2 linked regions of the Stegostoma tigrinum genome follow. The protein of the gene in region 2 interacts with the protein of the main gene of each other region in a biochemical or structural test. Links are inferred from orthologs where the notes say so. Each region holds a gene or a part of one and is shown on either strand. Other genes may lie near its edges.

Evidence for each region.
Region 1: of the proteins of MAP kinase-activated protein kinase 2 (region 2) and zfp36l1a, one has a biochemical effect on the other in vitro, tested with the Homo sapiens proteins (2 studies listed by BioGRID). The link is inferred for Stegostoma tigrinum from reciprocal best matches to the Homo sapiens genes MAPKAPK2 and ZFP36L1.

What each region holds. Positions count from the first base shown.
Region 1 is NC_081363.1:80,870,633-80,880,555, reverse strand, and holds the start of zfp36l1a (mRNA decay activator protein ZFP36L1a), read right to left. Parts: upstream 4,637-9,923; 5' UTR 3,205-4,636; coding exon 3,151-3,204; intron 1,770-3,150; exon of another isoform or gene 1,430-1,769; intron 1,248-1,429; coding exon 267-1,247; 3' UTR 1-266. UniProt on the Homo sapiens protein: Zinc-finger RNA-binding protein that destabilizes several cytoplasmic AU-rich element (ARE)-containing mRNA transcripts by promoting their poly(A) tail removal or deadenylation, and hence provide a mechanism for attenuating protein synthesis.
Region 2 is NC_081374.1:17,685,108-17,695,984, reverse strand, and holds the start of MAP kinase-activated protein kinase 2, read right to left. Parts: upstream 4,448-10,877; 5' UTR 4,192-4,447; coding exon 3,946-4,191; intron 1-3,945. UniProt on the Homo sapiens protein: Stress-activated serine/threonine-protein kinase involved in cytokine production, endocytosis, reorganization of the cytoskeleton, cell migration, cell cycle control, chromatin remodeling, DNA damage response and transcriptional regulation.

The sequences.
Region 1 (9,923 bases), on a different chromosome or scaffold from region 2:
GTCATTGCTGTCCCCCTTACTATCAAATGGAAAAACCTGGAAGAGAAACACATTGAAGGTCATCAGTTGACACTGCATGTAGTTGGTGAGTTTGGGTTTGGGTTTGGGAAGTCAATTCTAACCCTTGTACGTGTGTCAAAAGTTGGCTACCTGGACTTTTTGTTTTCAAAAAGAAATCACAACAGTTTGTCTTAAATGCTAGCTCAGATTAGGGGCACTTGTTTTTGACAGCTCTCTGCTTCGTCCAGCACTGGAGAAAGGTCAAGTTAATCATCCGAAATAGAGAGTCTGCTGAAGATGGGGAGACGCTTGCTGAGGTCAGGGGTAGGAGACTCTGACCCGCTCACACTCCCAGAGCTGCTCAGGTAGCTGTCGGACATCGAGTCTGGAGGGCTCGGGGGAGGCTCATAGAGATGGGGCGACTCAGCCAAAGACCGGAGCAGGAAGGAAGGCGAATGGGCGCCATTGTTGGCGGAGGTCATGGGAACCTGGATGCCAATGCTGGGCGCAAACAGATTGGGTAGTTCCTGGCTCGAGTAGGTGAAAGGGTTGCTGGCGCAGTCTGGCAATGTGGGGGAGGAGCTGAGGTCCTCAGAGCTGAAAATGGGCGGAGGGGTGATCGAAGTGGGGCTGCCCAGCAGCCCACTGGAGGAACTGGAGATGCCAGAGAAGCTGTAGCTGTGCTGCAGGCGAGGCCGGTCGATCTTGTTGGAGGAGGAGAGTGGGAGATGCTGCTGGTCGTGAACGGGGGACAGGCGTCTCTCCTCTGCGTTGTGGATGAAGTGGCAGCGAGGGCCGTACGGGCAAAATCCAATGGTGTGGAAGGTGCGGCAGAGCTCAGTCTTGTACTTGGGGTGCCTGGCCAAGCTCCTCAGCTCGTGGATGCCGTGAGCAAACTGGCACTTGTCGCCGTACTTACACGAGCCATTCTCCTCGAAGGGGCGGCACAACTCTGTCTTGTAGCGGCTGGAGTTGACCTGGCTCTGGGCTTTCTGCAGGCCCGTCTCCGAGAAGGAGCGGTCCCGGAATTTGTTCTCCTTGTTGGCCCCGGCAGTGCTACCACTCTGCTCCAGCTTGAAGCTGTTCAGCAGCTGGTTCTGGTTGAACTTGGAGTTAGCGTTGACAAGGGCGACAGAATGTCTCCTCTGGTAGTCCATCAGTGTCGGGGTCCCGACTGCCTTCCTGTCCAGCAGGGGCACACTTGAGCTGCCTGCGTTGATGTTGTTGTTGTAGCTAATCATCTTGTTCTGGGCGAGGACAGAAAGCAAAACGATTGCTTTAGACACGACAAGAGTGGGGAAAAAAAACCCAGCCTGCTATACAAGTTGTATATCCAATCTCAGCCTCCCCATTACCAGCATTAATCTTCCTACCCACTTCACCCCCTTAAAAAGGCGCCTACACGCTTCATCCCCTTTAAAGAGTTTACCTTCAACCTAACCAGTCCATGAGGTACTAAGTGTCAATATCTCGGTGCAGAACGTTTTCTCAAATTCCGTAATGGTTTTGTTAGTGATTTTTGTATTTGCGGCCCCAGGAGGTGGATTCCCCTACTAGCCCAATTAAACATCCTCTATCTCCATCCTGTCCAACCATTTCGGACTTTTAAAGATTTAATCAGATCGTCATCGGTCTTCCCTCTCCTAAAGGAACTGAGCTGAAGTCTATCGTAACTGATAGCTATTATGGGGCAGAGAGAGAGAGAGAGAGAGAGAGAGCGAGAACGGTAATGAATTTGACGTCACAGCCAGCAACACTTGTTTACGTTGAACAGGCAAAGAGATGGGCTTGTGGCTCACCAGGCAGTAGTCAGCACCAATGAGACTGTCCCCCGCAAACCAACCCCCCCCCCGATGTTCCTTGGGGCAACTCAAATGACAAAGGGCAAGTTACTGGTGGGGGGTCATTACACAGCGCTGCACCCTGTAGGCGCTCCCCTGCCCCATTCCCCCAACTCATGCTCACTCCTGGAGCACAGTCCACTAACAAACCATCCCCTGACCACTGCAGTCACAATATTGACAGGTAAGAACCACTCTCTCCTCCCCACAGCTTACCAAAAATAACAGTGTTCCACTCATAAATACCACATCCAAATAATGCCCCATTTCCAACATGTTCGGAGAAACTTGAATGGAAGTAACAGAAACAAATAAGAAAGTTGATAAGTGTGCTCCGGCGAGATTTCACTCCCTAACACCCTCTTCCCAATAAGCCTCCCCCCCCTCTCTCCCACTTTTTGTACACCTTTCAGTGGTGTAATTCCTGGTACTAATCGCCTTCTTGGGAGGGGAGGCGAGAGACTTAACCTTTATTTAAAGGGGGGGGTGGGGTGGGCGAATGGGTACACAGAGCAAGAGCGATGGGGCTCTCTCTGTCTGAGTGTCCAGGATGAACTGATGCCCCTTTTAAGCCAAACTGGGGCAACAGAAGTAACAAAAAAAGTGGGTGGGGACTCCTGAAGTTCCAAATCAGAATCTTGGCGCGTTCCAAATCAGGGGTATCAACGTTCCAAATCAGAACTCCCCCTCCCAAAACAACATGCCTGATCTGGAATCAAGAAATCTCACCCTCCTCCTCCTTCTCTTCCATCGCCACCCGAAATTATTTTAAAATACCAATTTAACAAAAACAAACACCCGGAGAAGCACTACATAATGGGTTAAAATATAGAACAGATAAACAGGAAAGAAAGTTCCACCAAACCGCCTCAAACAGGACAGAGCAAAATATACAGCCAAATTCAAACAGCCAGAAAAGAAGTCCATTTAAAAAAATAACACGCAGGAATCTCTAATGTCGCAGGCGTGGGGGTGGGATCGTTAAGGATATGAAATCCGCAATCAGCCGTCAAGTTTTTTTAAATTTTGTTTTTAAAAAGAGCAGAATTAAAACTCTCTCATCTTAAGGCATCATTCCGGGAGTCTTTGCTCAGAAAGGTGGCTACACCAAAACGTCCACACAAAATTGTTTGATTAAATGCAGAATGAGAGCGAGAGAAATGAAGAAAGCCATCGGTAGATCGAGTGGCTGAGAAAGTTGCAACGTGCTTGCTGGAATAATTAATACCATTTCTCTCTCTCACACACACACACACACACTCACACAGAGGGCGACTCAAAACAAAAGTTAGCGCGTGCTTCTTTTTACCTTGCATAAAACTTCTCCAATGTCGTAGAAACATGAGGTGAACTTTGTAGACATGTCGAGGTGTCCGGGTTAGCAAAAGCAGGTCGATACGGCTGTGAAAGCCGGGGGATGGGGCGGGGCGAGACGGATCGGATCGACTCCCCAACTACAGTGAAGCTCCGACTGCTATTATTTTCTTCCTTTCCCTGTGTGTGTGTGCTGCGAGCCTCCCACTCGCCCCGCAGACTTTCAAAAACTCGCAGTCCGACATCACCCATAAATAATTTCCCTTCCCCCCGTAGGCGGATCCCTGGTATTTAAATCAGCCTGGCTTGCGAGCTCTTTTTTTTGAAAAAATCTCTTTGACTGACAGTAACTGCACCCAAGCAGCACAGAGCGAGAAAGGAAAATTAACGCCTTCCCACCAAATCCAAGTTAAAACTTTTTACATGGCGCTCTCTCTTCTCTCTCTCTCTATATATATATATATAAAATTCCTCTTTACGAGTTTGTTAAGGTGTTTTTTTCCACCCTCCTGTTTGTTAAATGAACTAAAATTTTACATCATACAACATCAATGAAGTTAACTAATTGGTAGTTTTCAGTCTGTTGGATTTTTTTTGTTTTGGGCGGGATTTGGAGCGAGCTGCACAGTTCAGAAAGGGATTTGGATCGGGAAGAAGCCATTGCGAAATGTTTGAGCAAGGGGGAGGAATGCGTTGTTTTATAAAAAACTTTCTGGATCAAACATTTGGGGGGCGGTGAAATGTGGTGCCCCGCAATATGTTGCACAAGGTTCAAGCGGGTTTGGTAAAGGGTGCAACGCTGTTTCAAAACGTGTTTTTAAAAGCGGCCACTCAGATAATGGCTGTTTTAATTTTTTAAAAAAGCGTAGTTTTAATAGTGTTTTTTTTTAAATGTACGTCGACTCGCAGTGTTTTGGCTGTTTCCGAATGATTTGCATTGTGCGCGGCTTATCGTCTGTAACAGATGGTTGCAATTTCATGTCTGTTACAACGGGTTTTGGCGGGAGAGAGCACATGGCGCTAAAGGAGCCTTTTTAGTTGAGTTTTTTTTGGGGGGGTTAGAAGAAAATAAGAATGAAACGAGAGAAGAGGGCTTTATAAAAATACGTTGGCCCTTCGGTTTGAGAAGGCCAAATAAGCGCCTCCTGACGTCAACTTTCTGTGTTTTTCTTATTCCTTCTTGAAAACAAAGTTTGACTTCTCATTTTAAAAAATCATGTTTTTCTTAATTCCCCCCTTTTATAAAAAAGACGTTTCCCTCATTCCTCCCCCTTTAGGAAACATTTCCTTTTTATTCCACCTTTAAAAAAATCTCATTTCACCCCCCTCTCTTTATGTGACTCCCTACACAGTGCAGGGGTTTGTATTAAATAGTTTTCTCCTCCTCCCTCCCCTTATTTAAGCGCACTCTAATTGGTATCGCTTAAGCTATTTTTTCCTTAAACTTTTCGTTCCGAGTGAATCCGCCTAATGTTGGTTTTTTTCAGGATCCATCAGCGAACGCCCCCCCCCCCCGTCATGCGCTTTTTCTTCAATTTTCCAAAGCTCAACGATTTACAGCGACTCTCGATCCCCCCCCCCACCTTTCGTAAAACAAAAAGTTCGGCAAAATAAAGTAATACTGAAACTGGAATCGGGGGGGAAAAATAGAGATGTGGTGTGGTTCAGCGCTGTGGCTATTTTAAAACGGAGGGTTCAACATTATAAACAGTGCGACTGTGTCTTGGGGGAGGGGGTGGCGAAGAGAGAGGAACTGAATCCATTCAGATCTCAAATCACCAAACCTTCCTCAATCCTATTTGCACGTGGTGGCTGAATCAGCAGATAGTTGACACTATCCACCCGCGAAATAACAGCTAGAATACTGTCGCTTTGCTTTCTCTCTCTTTTAATATTCATCTTCTATTTTTGGAAAAGCAATTCTACAAGTTTTCCTCCCCTCCCCCAACCCAAGTTATTTTCCCGCAAAACAAAATCCCTAATAGCCACAGAGGTCAGGACAGGGGCTCCCCTTTGAAAGTTCTCGTTCTTCTCTTCACAAGTTATTTACCTTTGCGGCCACTGGGATATGTTTTGAAGGTGCGCCAAACCCCAGACAATGTTTTTAGACTCATCTGAGGGGGATGAGACAGCTCCTAGCGCTGGCGCCTCTCTCTCCATGTGCTGTATGGGAGTGTGGAGGCTGTATCACACTGGTTTTCTCTCTGCCGGGCTGCAGGGAGGGGAGGTCCCACCACTTCCTGCACTGGCGCATTGTAAACAACAAGCCCCACACCCTTCCCCACCAGGCCGCGTTTTGTGCTACTTCCAATTGGGACCCTCTACAGGAATGCTTTCAGTTTTTGCTTGGGGGGTGGGAGTTGGGAGGAGGTGGTGGGGAGACGCCGCTTTCTTTATCTCCCTCCCCTGTCCCCTATCCAGCCCTTGCTTCAAGTTAATGTTTGGTTTTCAGTCCCTGCCTTAAACACTATCCCAGCAGTCCCTTGGCCTCTCCGATCTCAAATTGTTGTTAAAATATGTTTAAAAATGTTGTTGAGCAAAGGTGTAAGGGTGGCACACTGGTTAGCCAGGGGCCCGGATTCGATTTCAGCCTCGGGCGACTGTCTGTGTTGGGTTTGCACATTCTCCCCGTGTCTGCGTGGGTTTCCTCCGGGTGCTTAAAGATGTTCAGATTGGGCGGATTGGCCATGATAAATTGCCTGTCGTGTCCAGGGAGGTGCAGGCTGGGTGTGGAAATGCTGGGTTACAGGTACAGGGTAGGCTAGAAGGGCTGATGCACGCCAGGCATAGGGATTCTACACGGGCCAAAGGTAGTTAGATGGAGTTAGGCCGCAGATGAGCCATGATCTCATTGAACTGCCAAAAATCTTGAAACAAAAACAGAAAGCACCAAATGGCACCAGAGACTGGTGACTCTGTACCCTTTTCAACTATACTCATGCACTCCTGTGCTTGAGCACAATAAAATCTAACTCTTAAACAGCACTGGAGAAACTCAGCAGGACTGGCAGCGTCTGTAGAGGGAGAGAGAGAGAATAACAGAATTGACATTTTGAGTACAGTGACCCTCCTTCACAAATGTGGTGCGCTTTGAAAGCTGGTTGGGGGGTGGTAGAGGGCAGGGCTAGATCGAGCAATAGGGCAATTTCTGGGGTAGAGTGGTAGAATTTAACAGCAACTAAAAGGCAAAGGGAGTGGTAATGGTGGCACTAATGGAATGAATCATTTGTCCAGCATGAATGTGGACAGTTGAATAATGAATGCCTCTGTTCAAAAGCAAGAACTTGAAAAACCAGATTTAAACTGGCTCACAGCAAAAAACAAAAGAAGCTCAAAATGGAGCAACCAAGTTCACAGTCTGAAGTAGCTGAACCCAACGATGGAGGTTGGCAGCTGGAAAATTTGGCCGGGGTGGGGAAGTTGTTGTTCCTCCAGCTTCCGTCAGGCTTTGCTGGAAGGCTGCAACAGGCCTTGGACAGACATGGCAGCCCGACAGGCAAAGAGTGAATTAAAGTGGCATGTGGCCAGCAGCTCAGGACCAGGTCTGCGAAGCAGTCACCCCAGGCTGTCAGCTTTAAATCACTCATCGGGTGCCATTATCGCATTGCTGTTTGTGGAATCTTGCTGCGCTCAGCTTGCCCTGCTGCCCTTCCCCCCCCACCCCCCACCCCCCCCCCCCCCCAACTTCGAAACCTGGTTGTGAAATGCTAGGGGAAATCCTGAGGTGGTGGAAGGTGCTAGAGGAATGCACATTTTTGTGCACTTCCATTCACGGTCCTAGGGGTGTCGGGCTATAGTTGGACTCTGAGCCAGATCAGGAAGAGTGGGCAGACTGACAGGGAATAGTGAAGGTCCCATGACCAGGGAAGAGCTGTATCTCATCACCAGGTTGGTATTAGGAAGTAACATTGTGGTGTGGTGTGCCTCCTTAATAATGCATGGCATAAATTTCAACAGCTTGTACACCCCCGTGCCACACACACATACCCCTCACTCACATACACACACCCCTCACACACACACACACATCAGACACTCCCCTCACACACAGACACGCACACACACAGACACCCTCCTCATACCACCCTCACATCCCCTCTCACACACACACACACACACCCCTCACACACATGCACCTCAGACACCCCCCTCACACACACACATACACACACGCCCTCCTCACACCACCCTCACATCCCCTCTCACATACACACACAGACAACCCTCACACACATGCCCGCACACACACACACCCTCTCACACACACACATACCTCACACCCCCCTCACACACACATACAGACACACACACACATACCACTCACTCACATACACACACCCCTCACACACACACACACGCGCGCGCACAAACACACACCCCCCTCACACACACACCCCCAACACACACACGTACATATACCCCTCACATATACACACTGCCTTCACATACACACTCCCGCCTCATACCCCTTTACATATACAAACATTCCACACATACTCCCTCACACATAAAACACCACCACACATGCACCCCAACCCAGCCCGACCCTCTACTCAAGAAAAACGAACATGACAACTAACTTAACATTGGTCAAGGGTTAGTGTAGGCCTGCTTCAGGCACTGATGCCAGTGATCAGGCGGGCTGCTTTCTGCTTTGTTTCCTGCTTCCCAATTCCTGGAATTTTGTGCCTGTTACAGCTGTGTGGTCTGGATTGCAGGCCATCAGGACGGATCAAGGGGGAGCAGAGCTTTCCAGGGAGAATGGAAAAACCATGAAAGAGAGAGAACGTTGCTAGGAAGTCTCAACTTTCCATCAGCTGTTCATGACTCACCCCAGATAAGTGGAAGGGCTCGTAACGGAGGGTCATCATCACTTCCCAGGCCTTGGGGTCTAGGCAAGTTCTTCTGCTTCACCTATTTGTCAAAGGCCTGAAAGCCATGGAATTCTCACTTCACACCTTTCCCTCTTCCCCTGAGACACGCCTTAAAAACCTACACCTTTCACCAGATTCTTGGTCTGAGGCTCCACGTCACATTTTGTTGGTTGCAATCCTTTGAAGCATCTTGTGTCTTTGACCATGTTTTGATCAACGAGGGCACACATACAATGCGTCGGTACCCTTATGGCTTGCAGTGGAGACCTAGAGATCAATCTTCATTCGGGATACTCTAGGCTAAATTTGGAAGTTTGATACTCATGCCCCTTCTTGGGCTACAAATAGAATTTCGCTCCTGGATTGAGAGGGAGAAATTGCCGCTTGGCATTTTATTTTAATTGATCCCATGTCTTTGGCGTTGTCTAGTGACAAACACATGAAAAGTCTGCTCAGAGAGGGAGAAAGCCAGCAAAGACCATCTAATCCCACTCCAGAAAAAATAGCTGGCCTAAGGCTGGAGGGAGGCCCCTGAGATACATAGTGCAGCTGGATTCAGGCCAGTCATTTGAGGTGAGGGAAGTGAGACAAGGGAAGAGTGTTCGAGAGTGGAAATGCTTCCCCCCCACCCAACTCCCGGAAGGAGGAAGCAGCAACTGAGAGGGAGACGGAGCAAGGTGGCGGGGGGTGGGTGGGAGGTCATGGAGAAAGGTTGTGGGGGGTGGGGAGGTCACGGAGAAGGCAGAGGAAGGAGAGTGAGTTCCACCCATCATTGCCAGGGTGTAGATCCTGGGAACCGTTTTGTCAGCAATGCCTGGCAGGTGAGTCCTCCCGTCCCAGGCCCCTTTTATAGCTCAGCGGGCACCAGAATGGCACATGGACCTTGTTGGTCATGTTCGGATGGCGAGCACGGGTATGCCAGCCTGAGTCAAACTCCGCAAAGTGCTGCAACGGATGCTTGTGATTTCTGCCAGCTGGCAGGCACACTGGCAGCAATAAAAGCCTGGTCACAGCCCAAGCAGGCTCGGGGCAAGTGGGCATTTCCTCTGCGGTGACCATCAGAGACTGACCCACCTCCCTTTGCACCTCTGGCCTCCTCGGCCCACCTCCAGCTGGTGTCTCGAGTCATCACTGCTCACTTCCTGCCTCTGTTACCGTGAGAGTAACAAGTTTCCCCAAGCTCTGGGTGACTCGACTGTGTTTCCACAGCCCCATGCAACACCTCACAGGTTACTGTACAAACGCTGCAATGGTTGAGTCTTTTGTTCCACTTGAGCTGCAGGCTCAACCCAACATCCCGTCCGGTGCCTAGGGCTCTGGAAATCGCCCACAGTGCCACAAGCCCGGTGGAAGACGGTCAGTGCCAAGAGCAAGGGGTTGGCTATTCATGATGATGTAATGGGTAGGCGACATGCGCCCACTGATGCTCTATTTAACTGGTGGTGTGAGGTGAGCAAGGCTGTTTCCTGTGGTTGGGTAGGGTGCGGGGCGGTTTGCTGACCTGAGGACGGGGTGGGGGCGTTGACGGTGAGTTATTGGGGGGGGGGGGGGGGGGGGCGAGGTGCGTGGTCAATCCTAAAATTAGAATTCGGCCATAGAGAACAGAATCAGACGTGGAAGGGGCAGTGGGAAAGTGGTGCACTCTTCTCCCCCAGAGAGTGTAGGTGAGTTAACCGGGCACTGGGATGGGCGGACAAGGATATCGAGGGACAAACGCAGAAGTTGCTGGAGAAGCACACACAGCCAGTCCAGCAGCATCTGTGAAGACAGACAAAAAATTCCGAGTTAACGTTCCGGGTTTGGGTGACCCTCCCTCGGAACTGACAGTGGCTGGGAAGGTAGCGGCCATCTTTTCTGAAGAAGGGTCACCCAGAATCAAAACGCTAACTCTGAC
Region 2 (10,877 bases):
CCCCCTCTCTGTCTATTTATTTCACGAGCCGCTTCCCCTCCCCCGTTTCTGAAGAAGGGTCTGGGCCCAAAACGTCAGCTTTCCTTATCCTAAGATGCTGCTTGGCCTGCTGTGTTCATCCAGTTCCGCACCTTCTTATCTCAGATTCTCCTGAGGGTTACTCCTGTTTGATTGTCTGCATATCTGAGTGATGATTACTGCCTTGTTTCTAAGTTCAGAATTATAAACTAATCTGGCTTTGCTAAATAAATATTTTACATTACACACAAAGCTACAGTGAACATCAACTCTGGGCAGGAAGACATACATTGGTCATTACAAAATGAAAAATGTTTGGAATATTCCAAAGTACATGTAGAGAGAAACAGGGTTAACAATTAACACAATGACCCTTCATTAAAACAGAGGACTCAACACAAAATATTAAATGCTGTTTCTCCACAGATACTGCCTGATCTGCTCAGTATTTCTAGCATTTCCGGTATTGTATTTCAAAATTCTAGCATTTTCAGTACTTCCCTATAAAGTACCAGCCTGGGGTAACTCTAAAGCCTTGATCAACTGTTTAATTATGCAGCTCTGCCTTAAGTGGATGACAGAGATAGTAGGAACTGCCGATGCTGGAGAGTCTGAGATAGCACAGCGTGAAGCTGATTGAACACAGCAGGCCAAGCAGCATCAGAGGAGCAGGAAAGTTTGTTGTTTCGGGTCAAGACCCTTCTTCAGAAAAGTGGACGACACCTTATTTTTCATCTATGGCACCTAGTCACCCACTATCACCTGCAAGCTCTAATGCAAAGTTATTGATCCAAAATTTAAATTGCTTTTCTCTCTCCATGGATGCTGCTGAACTTTCAGAGTGTTTTCAGCACGTTCCGTTTCAGATGTCCAGCAGTTACACTATTTTGCTTTTAGCTCCTCCAGCTCACTTGCAGTGTTTTGTTGCTCCACACGATCTAAAGTCTTTAAAACAAGATTGTAGTTCTATTAAAGGACAAAAATGCAAGACATTTTGCTGTTGAAGTAGCTGTGCTCTGTAACATTAAAGATAATTTCATAAAAACTTATGGGTGCATCCTTGATTTCTCCAGTATCATCTAAAATAACACTGAACTTGTTCTGCACATACTTTAAAAAGTTACTTATTGAAGAGTCATGTTTTGGAACATCTAAATAGGAAGCAGAATTCATTCAAACCTGATGCAACCACAGTTCATGAAAATGCAAGTGTCAACTCCCACATGAATACTGCAAGTTTCATGGAAACAGCTACACAGTAGTGAGCCTGAAAAAGCATGTAAATGCATTGATCCAAGCTGTAACTCAAATCACTTCCTATATCAATAACAAATAGTGGAAGAGGATTAATTTCATCCATGCAGAATTACTTAAGTAAAAATAGATTTTATGTAGTCCTTCAATTTAAGCCAAACTACTTCCAATATAGAAAGCAATCTGCACTCTTAAAGAAAATAATTGTTAACACTGAACGCTACTTTAAGATCAAAAATGTTCAGGAATTAAGTCATCTTGCAACACACTGTAGAAGGTTAAAGCTGAGTATCAGTTGTACATAAAATGTTATGTTTTGTGGCTTTTCCTACAATTGCAATTTTTAAGCTGGCCTCTCTTGTTTGGTCCAAGCTCCAAATACGTTATTATGATCCCTTCTCTGACACAATTCCAGAATTATTGCACTGTCTTCTGGGCGAACTCACTTTTCAACCAAGACTTCACCCTGCAAACCCATCTACTTCAGATTTTCCCCTTTTAATACCTTCAAGTATCTGATTAAAGTCAGTGAATCATTACTTTTTCATTTACCTCAGTGCTTTACAGACTTGTCCCAGATCAGTGGGCGTTGAAAGGTCAGTAACTTGAAGTATTTATTTATTCAATTTTTCCCCTCTCTACAAATGCCACCTTGAGCCACTGAGTGTATCCAGCATTACCTGTTATTTAGGTTTTATCCTTTTCAGTCTCGCCAGAATCCTATGCGGTTATTCTTATCCTTTCACTTTGGTCGGTCATTTCTGAATCAGCAGATAATGGTGAACAAAGCACAATTTTTGTGTCACTAAGCCTCACAGTAAGAACTTCATAAACTGTCCCAACAATGCAGTCCCTAGCGGACAGTCCAACCCCGCTGATGGATTCTGCCAAGTCCATCAGAATGTTTTATACAGGCTTTGTTTATTTTTCCAAGATGAACACGGAGACCCACAGAAAATGCTTCCTAACTGCCGTGTCTAAAACACAACTGAACCACCTAATTCATATGGGAAAATTTAGGACATGCAGGGACATCAATATATTCGCACATAGTTAATGACGTTGCTTTGACTATCTCCGATCTTAATTAACAATAACCTTAGCTAACAGACACAAATGTAGACTGATTCTCTTAAAATATAGTCAAATTCAGCAAGTAGCTTAGAATAATAGCTGGCCTACACAAAAATGCCAACTGAGTAACATTAAACTCAATATAATGTACAAGATTTCCACTAAACAAAAGTGCTGGCAATGCTCAAGTTTCTTTTCGGCAAGTTGTGCCTCTCAGGAGAAATGAGCAAGATCACGTCCCAAAGGCCTTTCTGGTTCAGTGCCAGCAGTCTCAGGGATTTGGGGTTAATCGGCGAACTATCACAAATCTACGCAGAGACATAATTCAAGAATATCTGACGCACCACAACCTGGCTAGAAGCTGAAATCAACTCGTCTCCTGAATAGTCAAAACAGTACACAAATATGACAGCACTTTTCCATCGGAAATTTGTCGGAGACATGCTGTTTACCTCGTGCAAACAGCATTTGCTGTTGGTAAATCCGTGTAAACTTCAAGTGCGTTCAAAGAGCAGGTCGAGGAGTTTCGCTGTAAATCTTTTTCACAATAAAGAAGTGATAACCGATGGATGAATATTCCCTTCCTCACACCCCGCAAACGTGCAAAGGGAGAATTATTTCCCAAGATCCGCCACATATTAAGAAACAAACCATGAGATTTGTGTGTTTGGGGGGGGGGGGAAAAAGAGGTGGGTGGAGAATGCAACATACGTCTCTCCCATGCGAGACGACCCTAAGACTCGGTACTAAGTAATCATCGTCCGTCCTCACCTCCATCTCTATACATCAAGCCAGCTACAATACCAAACACTACGTGTTACTGAAATGACAAACTTATTACACTCCCGAAACCGGGGAAGTCTCGAAGGAAAGACCATCTGTCTGTCGATACTGGAGTTGAACGTTGTTAACTGAACAGTTCCCCCCGCCACAACAAGGATTCCGAAACGGCAGGACCGCCGGGAATGGCAGATGGGCAACTTCGCTGACTGAAAAACACAGAGCCAATACTCTCCTCATCCTGGTGGTGACGGAGAGAGGGGGGGGGGGGGTGGTCCGTATTGTCCTCAAAGCATGCAGCCCCCCACACCGCCTTTTTGTTATTTGTATCTGAAGAGGGAGCCTGTTCCGGTGAGAGGTTTCAGTGTGACAAAGCAGTACAAACAAATAAAAGCGAGTCAGTCAGTTTTCAAATACAGGGGTCTGGGAGGAAATCCACCTGCCGCACAATTTCTCAGCCTCCCACCTCAAAGTCTCCGTACCGCTTCTCTTCCCAGTTTTAGGGAGCCTTTTAGGCCCGACTGAGAGAGGGATGATTTTTTTCACCTTTCAATTCTCCCAGATATTTCAGAACGAGTTCCACGCCTGTGTTAGGAAGCTACAGTGACGGGTAGATTCAGTCCGGCTTAATAAAATCCTTTAGAAACATTCTAAACTCTACGTTTTAGGACTCTGTCTGACAGAACACACCGCCCCCCCCCCAAACAAACCCCCCAACCTCCGTACCATTAGGGAGTTTACTTCAAACTATGTTTACAGAAGGTCGATCGAGCGGATAACATGAGTAGTCCGCTGTCAAACTTCGACGTTGGAACTTACCTTCAAGGCAAATTTCTCCTGGGTTTTCTTGCTAAAACATTCCAAAACTTTGCCATTGATGCCCAGTCCCAGAACCTGCGCCGTGACCTTGTAGTCGTCGGTGATGGCGTTTTTCTTGGTCTGAGCGCCGGTTCTCTGTAGCTGGAAGGGAGCCGGGGGAGGAGGGTAAAGGGGAGCCGGAGGCGGCGGCTCTGGGATCTGGTTACCTTGTTGCGGATCCCTGGCTGTCGCAACGTTCGACAACATTGTTACATCGGAGCTCGATACTTTGTAACCCAGAGCAAACCCCTGGCTCTTTGTCAAACACCAAGTTACAGACTTGCCACCAGAGACAGTAAAAGTAGCTGGATCACCAAACCTCACAAATCCCCCGAGTTGCTACACCTCCTGTCAAGAAGTAGCGATCAAAATCCAAATCTCCCTTTTTTTAAAAGCCTAGCTAAAGATCCCACTTGATCAGTTTCACGGCACTTCCAATTGAGTTTCAGTGGAAATAGACGTGCTGACGTCAAAGCCTCACTACCAGACGGGGAGAGTAATGACGGCCTTTTCTTAAAGGTGGTCGGGACAAAGGACGCTTAAAGGCAATGTTTGTTTCGGCCTTCCTGGAGGGCTGCCGTGGAATTTCTGTCGCAAAATCGGAGCCATTTTGATAGTGCGTGTCAGAAATGCTACTATGTTCAGAAATGTCATTGTACCCAAGGTAAAATCAAAAACATGGTGGCTGGGAGCAACAGCAGAGTACTTGGCTCTTGTGGCCAGATTTTCAGTCATGAGGCCAGCCACCTATCTGCTGCCCACTCTTAACAATCGCATAGGTATTTAAAAATTAATCTGAGAAGAAATATTATGACACATCTCTGGTGCAGTTGGAACTTGAACCCAAGCCATATCAAGCCCAGAGATAGGGGTATTCCCAGTGCACCACAAAAACTCCCTTACCGAGACAAATGGAATCCAATCCAGATAAATGTGAGGGTGATTCACTCAGTCAGGATAAACAAGGTGAGGAAACACATGATGGGTAGTACTGGAAGCGCTGAGAATCAAAGGGACCTTGGAGTGCATGTACACCATTGCTGCATAAGACTGAACATAAGAGAGACAATACAGTCCTTTAAGGTTAAGAACAGGGAGGTTAGTTGGAACTATGTAAAACATGATTTGGCTGCAGATAGCATATTGCATGCAATGCAGAAATCCATGTTATATAGGAGGAATATCATAGTGATGGGAGAGGGTGCAGAGGAGATTTAGCCTTTGGAGTGAAGAATTTCTTGTATGAAGAGAGTCAAGACACATGGGTTGTTTTCCTGAGGGTAGAGGAGATTGAGAAGGGGCCTGATTTGAGGTGTATGAAATTATTAGAGGCATAGAACGGGCAGACAAGAAGAAACATTTCCTCTTGATGGAGAAATCAATGACCAGGGAACTCAATTTAAAGTTTAGAAGAGATGTGAGGAAAATCATTTTCACCCAGAGGGTGCTGGGAATGGAGAACTCACAGTTTGTCAGCATTGTGGAGGCAGAAACCCTTGTTACATTCGAGAACTATTTAGATGTGTACTTGTGATGTCAGTACGTACAAGGCTATGGGCCAAATGCTGGAAATGGGATTAGAATAGTTAAATGAGATAATACGGTGTGAAGCTGGATGAACACAGCAGGCCAAGCAGCATTAGAGGAGCAGGAAAGTTGATGTTTTGGGTCGAGACCCTTCTTCTTAAAGAAGGGACTCGACCTGAAACGTCAGACGTTCCTTCTCCTCTGTTGCTGCTTGGCCTGCTGTGTTCATCCAACTTCAAACCGTGTTATCTCAGATTCTCCAGCATTGGCAGTTCCCACTATCTCTGTAAAAATAGTTAAATGGTTGCTTTTGACTAATGTAGATGTAATGGGCGAAGGGGCATTTGTCTGTGCTGTAAGTCTCTATGACATTATAAGGGCATTTATAAAAAGAAAACTGACACCATTACAAATCTGCTGTTACCACTGTCTTATCGTCCTCAGTCTTTGACTTGTGACCAAGTCTCATCCATTTGGACCATTTTTTAAATGATCACTGCTAAGAAATCATTTGAAAGTTGTGTGTTGACCCATTCTAATATAGTCAGTGTCAGAAGAAAACTACATTGTCAAATTCAATGGAAACTTTCATCTAAACAAACCTGAATGACTGGATAAATCTCACCAATAATTACATTTGTTATTGATGGCTGGAAGTTGCTTCATAATGTGTTTAAGTGCTAGACTGAGCATGGAGCTCTGCTTTCCTCAATAACAGAACTTAACTCAACAATGAAAACACACAGGCTGTGCACTCATGAACTGTTGCAGAAGGGGGCTTGCCTCCACCTTCTCAAGGGCAGTGAGGGATGGACAATAAATGCTGTTTACTGACAAAAAGACAAAAATAACCAACTTTATCATTTTTTAAATTATCTCTTCTGCTTTCTTTCTCATTCACTTCTCATTTTCTCTTTCCCGTTTTCTTATCTCATAACAGCTCACTTGACAAGGGTGTCACAATCACATTTTTGTCTTTCATTCTCATGCTGGAAAGATTCCCTGGAAATGGATTCTAAATCCTATACAAGAGACCACAAACCAAAAGGATAACCTATCTGTTCTCTTTGCAGACTGAGGTATGATCTGGGGTGTATCACCAGCATTTTCTGAATTCATTTCAGATGTCTAGCAATTACAGCGTTTTTGTTTGATTGTGTTCTGGAGTTTATCTGTGCCGATCCTGGCAAACCTGACTCCTCAGTGCCACAGCTGCTGTATGGCATCTCTACAGAAGACAACATGTGCTGCTGAACCATGAATACAAACTTTTGAAGATGAAAGTCTGAAATTCTGAGTAGGACCTGGATTTTTCAGCAGATATCACCATTCGATTTTTTTTCATAAGCTTATAATAATGTGATTGACATGTTTTCCTGAAATGTGCTGAACGGGAAAAACAGCAGCAAATTTCTCTGCTGCTGTTTCTGGCATATTTCCCAACTCCAGCTTTAATTAGATCCTATGCAAATCCTTAAATTACATATTTCAAGGTTGATTTTTGGGTCAAATCTTGCGTTTTGGCAATATTAGAAGATAAATTCCCAGAACTGTTTTCAAAATTCAAAGCAGGTACGTCAGATCTAAATAATTATTGTTTATCAGAGTTAGTAGCTTTTAATAGAGAAAACTTCTTAATTACTTGACAACAATACAGTAGTGATTATCTGCAGTGCATTTTTGTTTGAAGATGTTTTGAGATCAAATATCACCAATAAAGTTTCGTATTGTGCTTAGTTCTGTAAAATAAATATCAATGCCTCTGTGACAGCCAATGGGTTGGACTAGGACAGGACTTGCATGTCTCCAAATTCATAATCAAAGCTACAGCAATCAGACTGTTCTCCAGTTCTATTGCCTACTCAGACACAAAAATTAAATGTTAAGGATGACACAGCATTTATAATGAAAAGTTAAAACAGACAGCAACACTTCATTTGTTCATTTTTTGATGTGACATGGAATTTGTTGGCAAAGTGCGTATTTATTGCCGTTAAACTAAATGGCTTGCCATTAAAAATCAAGCACACTGCTGTGGACCTGGAATTGCATATATACAAGACTAGGTAAGGATGGCTGATTTCCTTCCTTAAAGGACCATAAGACCATAACAAGTGGGAACAGGAATAGGTTGTTTGGTCCTTTGAATTTGCTCTGCCATTCAGTAGAATCATGGCTGATCTGACATTCCTCATGACCGCTTTCCTGCCTTTCGCAATAACCTTTGATTCCCCTACTGATCAAGAATCTATCTCTGGAATAACTCTCTGAGAGAATAAATTCCTCCTCATCTCAGTCTTAAATTGGAACCTCTTTATTTTGAGACTGTGTTCTCTGGTTCTTTCTCATGAGGGAAAATATCCTCTCAGTATTTACACTGTCGAGCTCCTTAAGAATCTTATATGTTTCAATTGGATCATCTCTCCTTGTACTAAACTCTAGTGAGTGCAGTCCCATTCTGTTTAGTGTTTGCACATAAGACAATGCCTCCACACTAGGTATCATCCTAGTGAACCTTTTCAGAACTGCCTCCAATGAAATGATACCTTTCCTTAAATGAGGGACCAAAACAACTCAGTACTCCAGATGTGGGCTCACCAGCACTTTGTACAGTTGCAGAAATATTTCCCTATTCTTTTACTCTAACCATCTTGAATTAAGGGCCAAAATTCCATTAGCCTTCCTGATACCTGCAGCACCGTGTACTAGCTTTTTGTGTTTTGTACACAAAAAACCTCCGGCCGCTTTGTGTTGCAACTTCCTGCAGTTTCCTCCCATTCTGTTCCTTAGTTCTCCCTTTCAAAATGAACAATTTCACATTTTCCTACATTTTACTCTATTGGCCAACTTTTTGCTCACTTGCTTAGCCTTTCAATATCTCTCTGTAAAATGTTTATATCCCTCTCGTAGCCTGCCTTTCTGACAATTCTTGCAACAAGTGCAAATTTGGCTACAGTGCATTTATTTTCTTCCACCATATCAGTAAGCTATATTGTAAAGAGATGCAGTACCAGCACTGATCTCTGTGGAACCCCACTTGTCACAGGTCACCAAATTGATGAAAAACCCTTTATTCCCAGTTACAGTTTCCTGCCCATGAGCCAATTCTCTAGCAATGCCAAAATACGATCTCCAGTACCATGGACTCTTATCTCATGTCTTAACCTTTTGTGAGGTATCTTGTCAATCGCCTTCTGAAAGTTCAAATGCAACACACCTATTGGTGCCCCTCTATCCAATATGGTAGAGACTTAATGAAAGAACGCTAATAAGTTAGTCAGACACGATTTCCCTTTCATGAAGCCATGCTGACTCTATTTGTTTAGATTATGATTTTCTAAATGTCTGGCTGTTACTTCCTTACTAGTTGATACCAAAACATTTCCAACAATAGATGTTAGGCTAATCAGTCTATGGTTATCCACTTTTTGCTTCCTTCTGTTTCCGTATAGGGGTGCCAAGTTAGCAGTTTTCCAGTCCTCTGGTACTTCTCCAGAATCTTTTGGAAAGTTACAACCAATACACCACTATCTCTGCAGCCATATCTTCTAGGATTTGAGGATGCAAGCCATCAGGGCAGGGACTTATCTGGCCTATAGCACCATTAGTCTGTCTAATACTACTTCTCTAGTGATAGTGATGGTACTTACTTCCTTCCCTGTGTTCTTTAGTTTTAATGGGATGTTGGATATAATTTCCACTATACAAACTGATGCAAAATATCTGTTTAACTCCTCTGCCATTTCCTTGTTGCCCAAAACCATCTGCCCAGATTCATTTTCTACGGGTCCTATATTCACTTTGACCTCTCTTTTCCTTTTTATATATTTATAGAAATTCTTATTGTCACATTTTGTTCATTGCTAGTTTGCTCTCATAGGTTATTTTCACTGTCTTTATTATCTTTTAAATCCTCCTTTGCTGCATTTTGAATCCATCTCAATCCTTACAGCTGTCACTGACTTTGGCCTCCCTACATTCTTTTTCTTTAAACTTAATGCTCTCTGCAACTCTTTGGTTAACCATGGTTGGTTTATCTCTCTCTTCTTTCCCTTGCTGTTTTTTAACTTTCACCCAAATGGACTGTACATCATCCAAGCCCAGAACATCTCTCACAAGTCACCTCATTTATTAAATACAGAGCTTCTCCATCACCTTTTTAACCCTTCCTTTCTGTCTCTCCGGAAGATCGAATACCCCAAATGTTAAGTTCCCAGTTTTAATCTCCTTATAATCATGTTTCTGTAGTGGCTATGAGATCATATTCATTTACCTCAATTTGCACTGTCAGTTTGTCCACCTTATTCCAAATGCTTTGTGCATTAAGCTAGAAATCCTTTAAGTTTGTTCATTTATTGAATTTCCTAGCACTTTTATGGTTCTTTGGTACAATATGGCATTCATACATTTTGTCCCTTTTATTTCTGGTAACAACCAACCCCATCATTAACCTACAATCCTACCTTAATCACATTTTTTCAGAATTAGCAATCATCCATTAATCATCAAACTCTCCTACTAATTTGTTGAAAAACTATTCCCACAGCTTTTGCTGAGCTGGCCAAGTATTAGGAATGATCAACTTGCAGAGGGTAGCCATTACATGCAAGATTTTTAAAGTAGATATTTGAACTGCTAATCACTACTTTTTGATCCTCACACACAGCAACCCCACCCACACACAAACCCCACACACATCAAACACCACACACACCAACCCAACACACAACCCAACCCAACCCACACACTCCTCATCCCCACACACACCAACCCACATACCACAACACCCACACACCAACCCCACACACATCAAACCCCAAACACCCCAACCCCACACACATCTCACCCTCACACACACTAACCCCCACACACACCCCCATCCCCACACACACCCCATCCCCACACACCCGAACCCCCACACACCTCAACTCCAAAAACCCCAACCCACACACACCTCAACCCCACTCACCCCAACCCCCACACACCCCATCCCACGCACACACACCCGATACACAACCCAACCACACATACCCCAACCCCCACACGCTCCAACACCATACACCCCAAACCCCACACATTCCAAACCCCACACATACCAACCCCCGTACACAACTGAACCCCCACACACTCCAACCCCCACACACCCTGAACCTACACACCCCAATCCCACACACACCCCAACCCCCACACACAACCCAACCTCACACACCCCAATCCTCACATACACCAACCACACACACACCCCCACCCCACACACCCTAACCCCCACTCACCCCAACCCCCATATACAACTGAACCCCCACACGCTCCAACCCCCACACATCCTGAACCTACACACCCCAATCCCACACACACCCCAACACCCA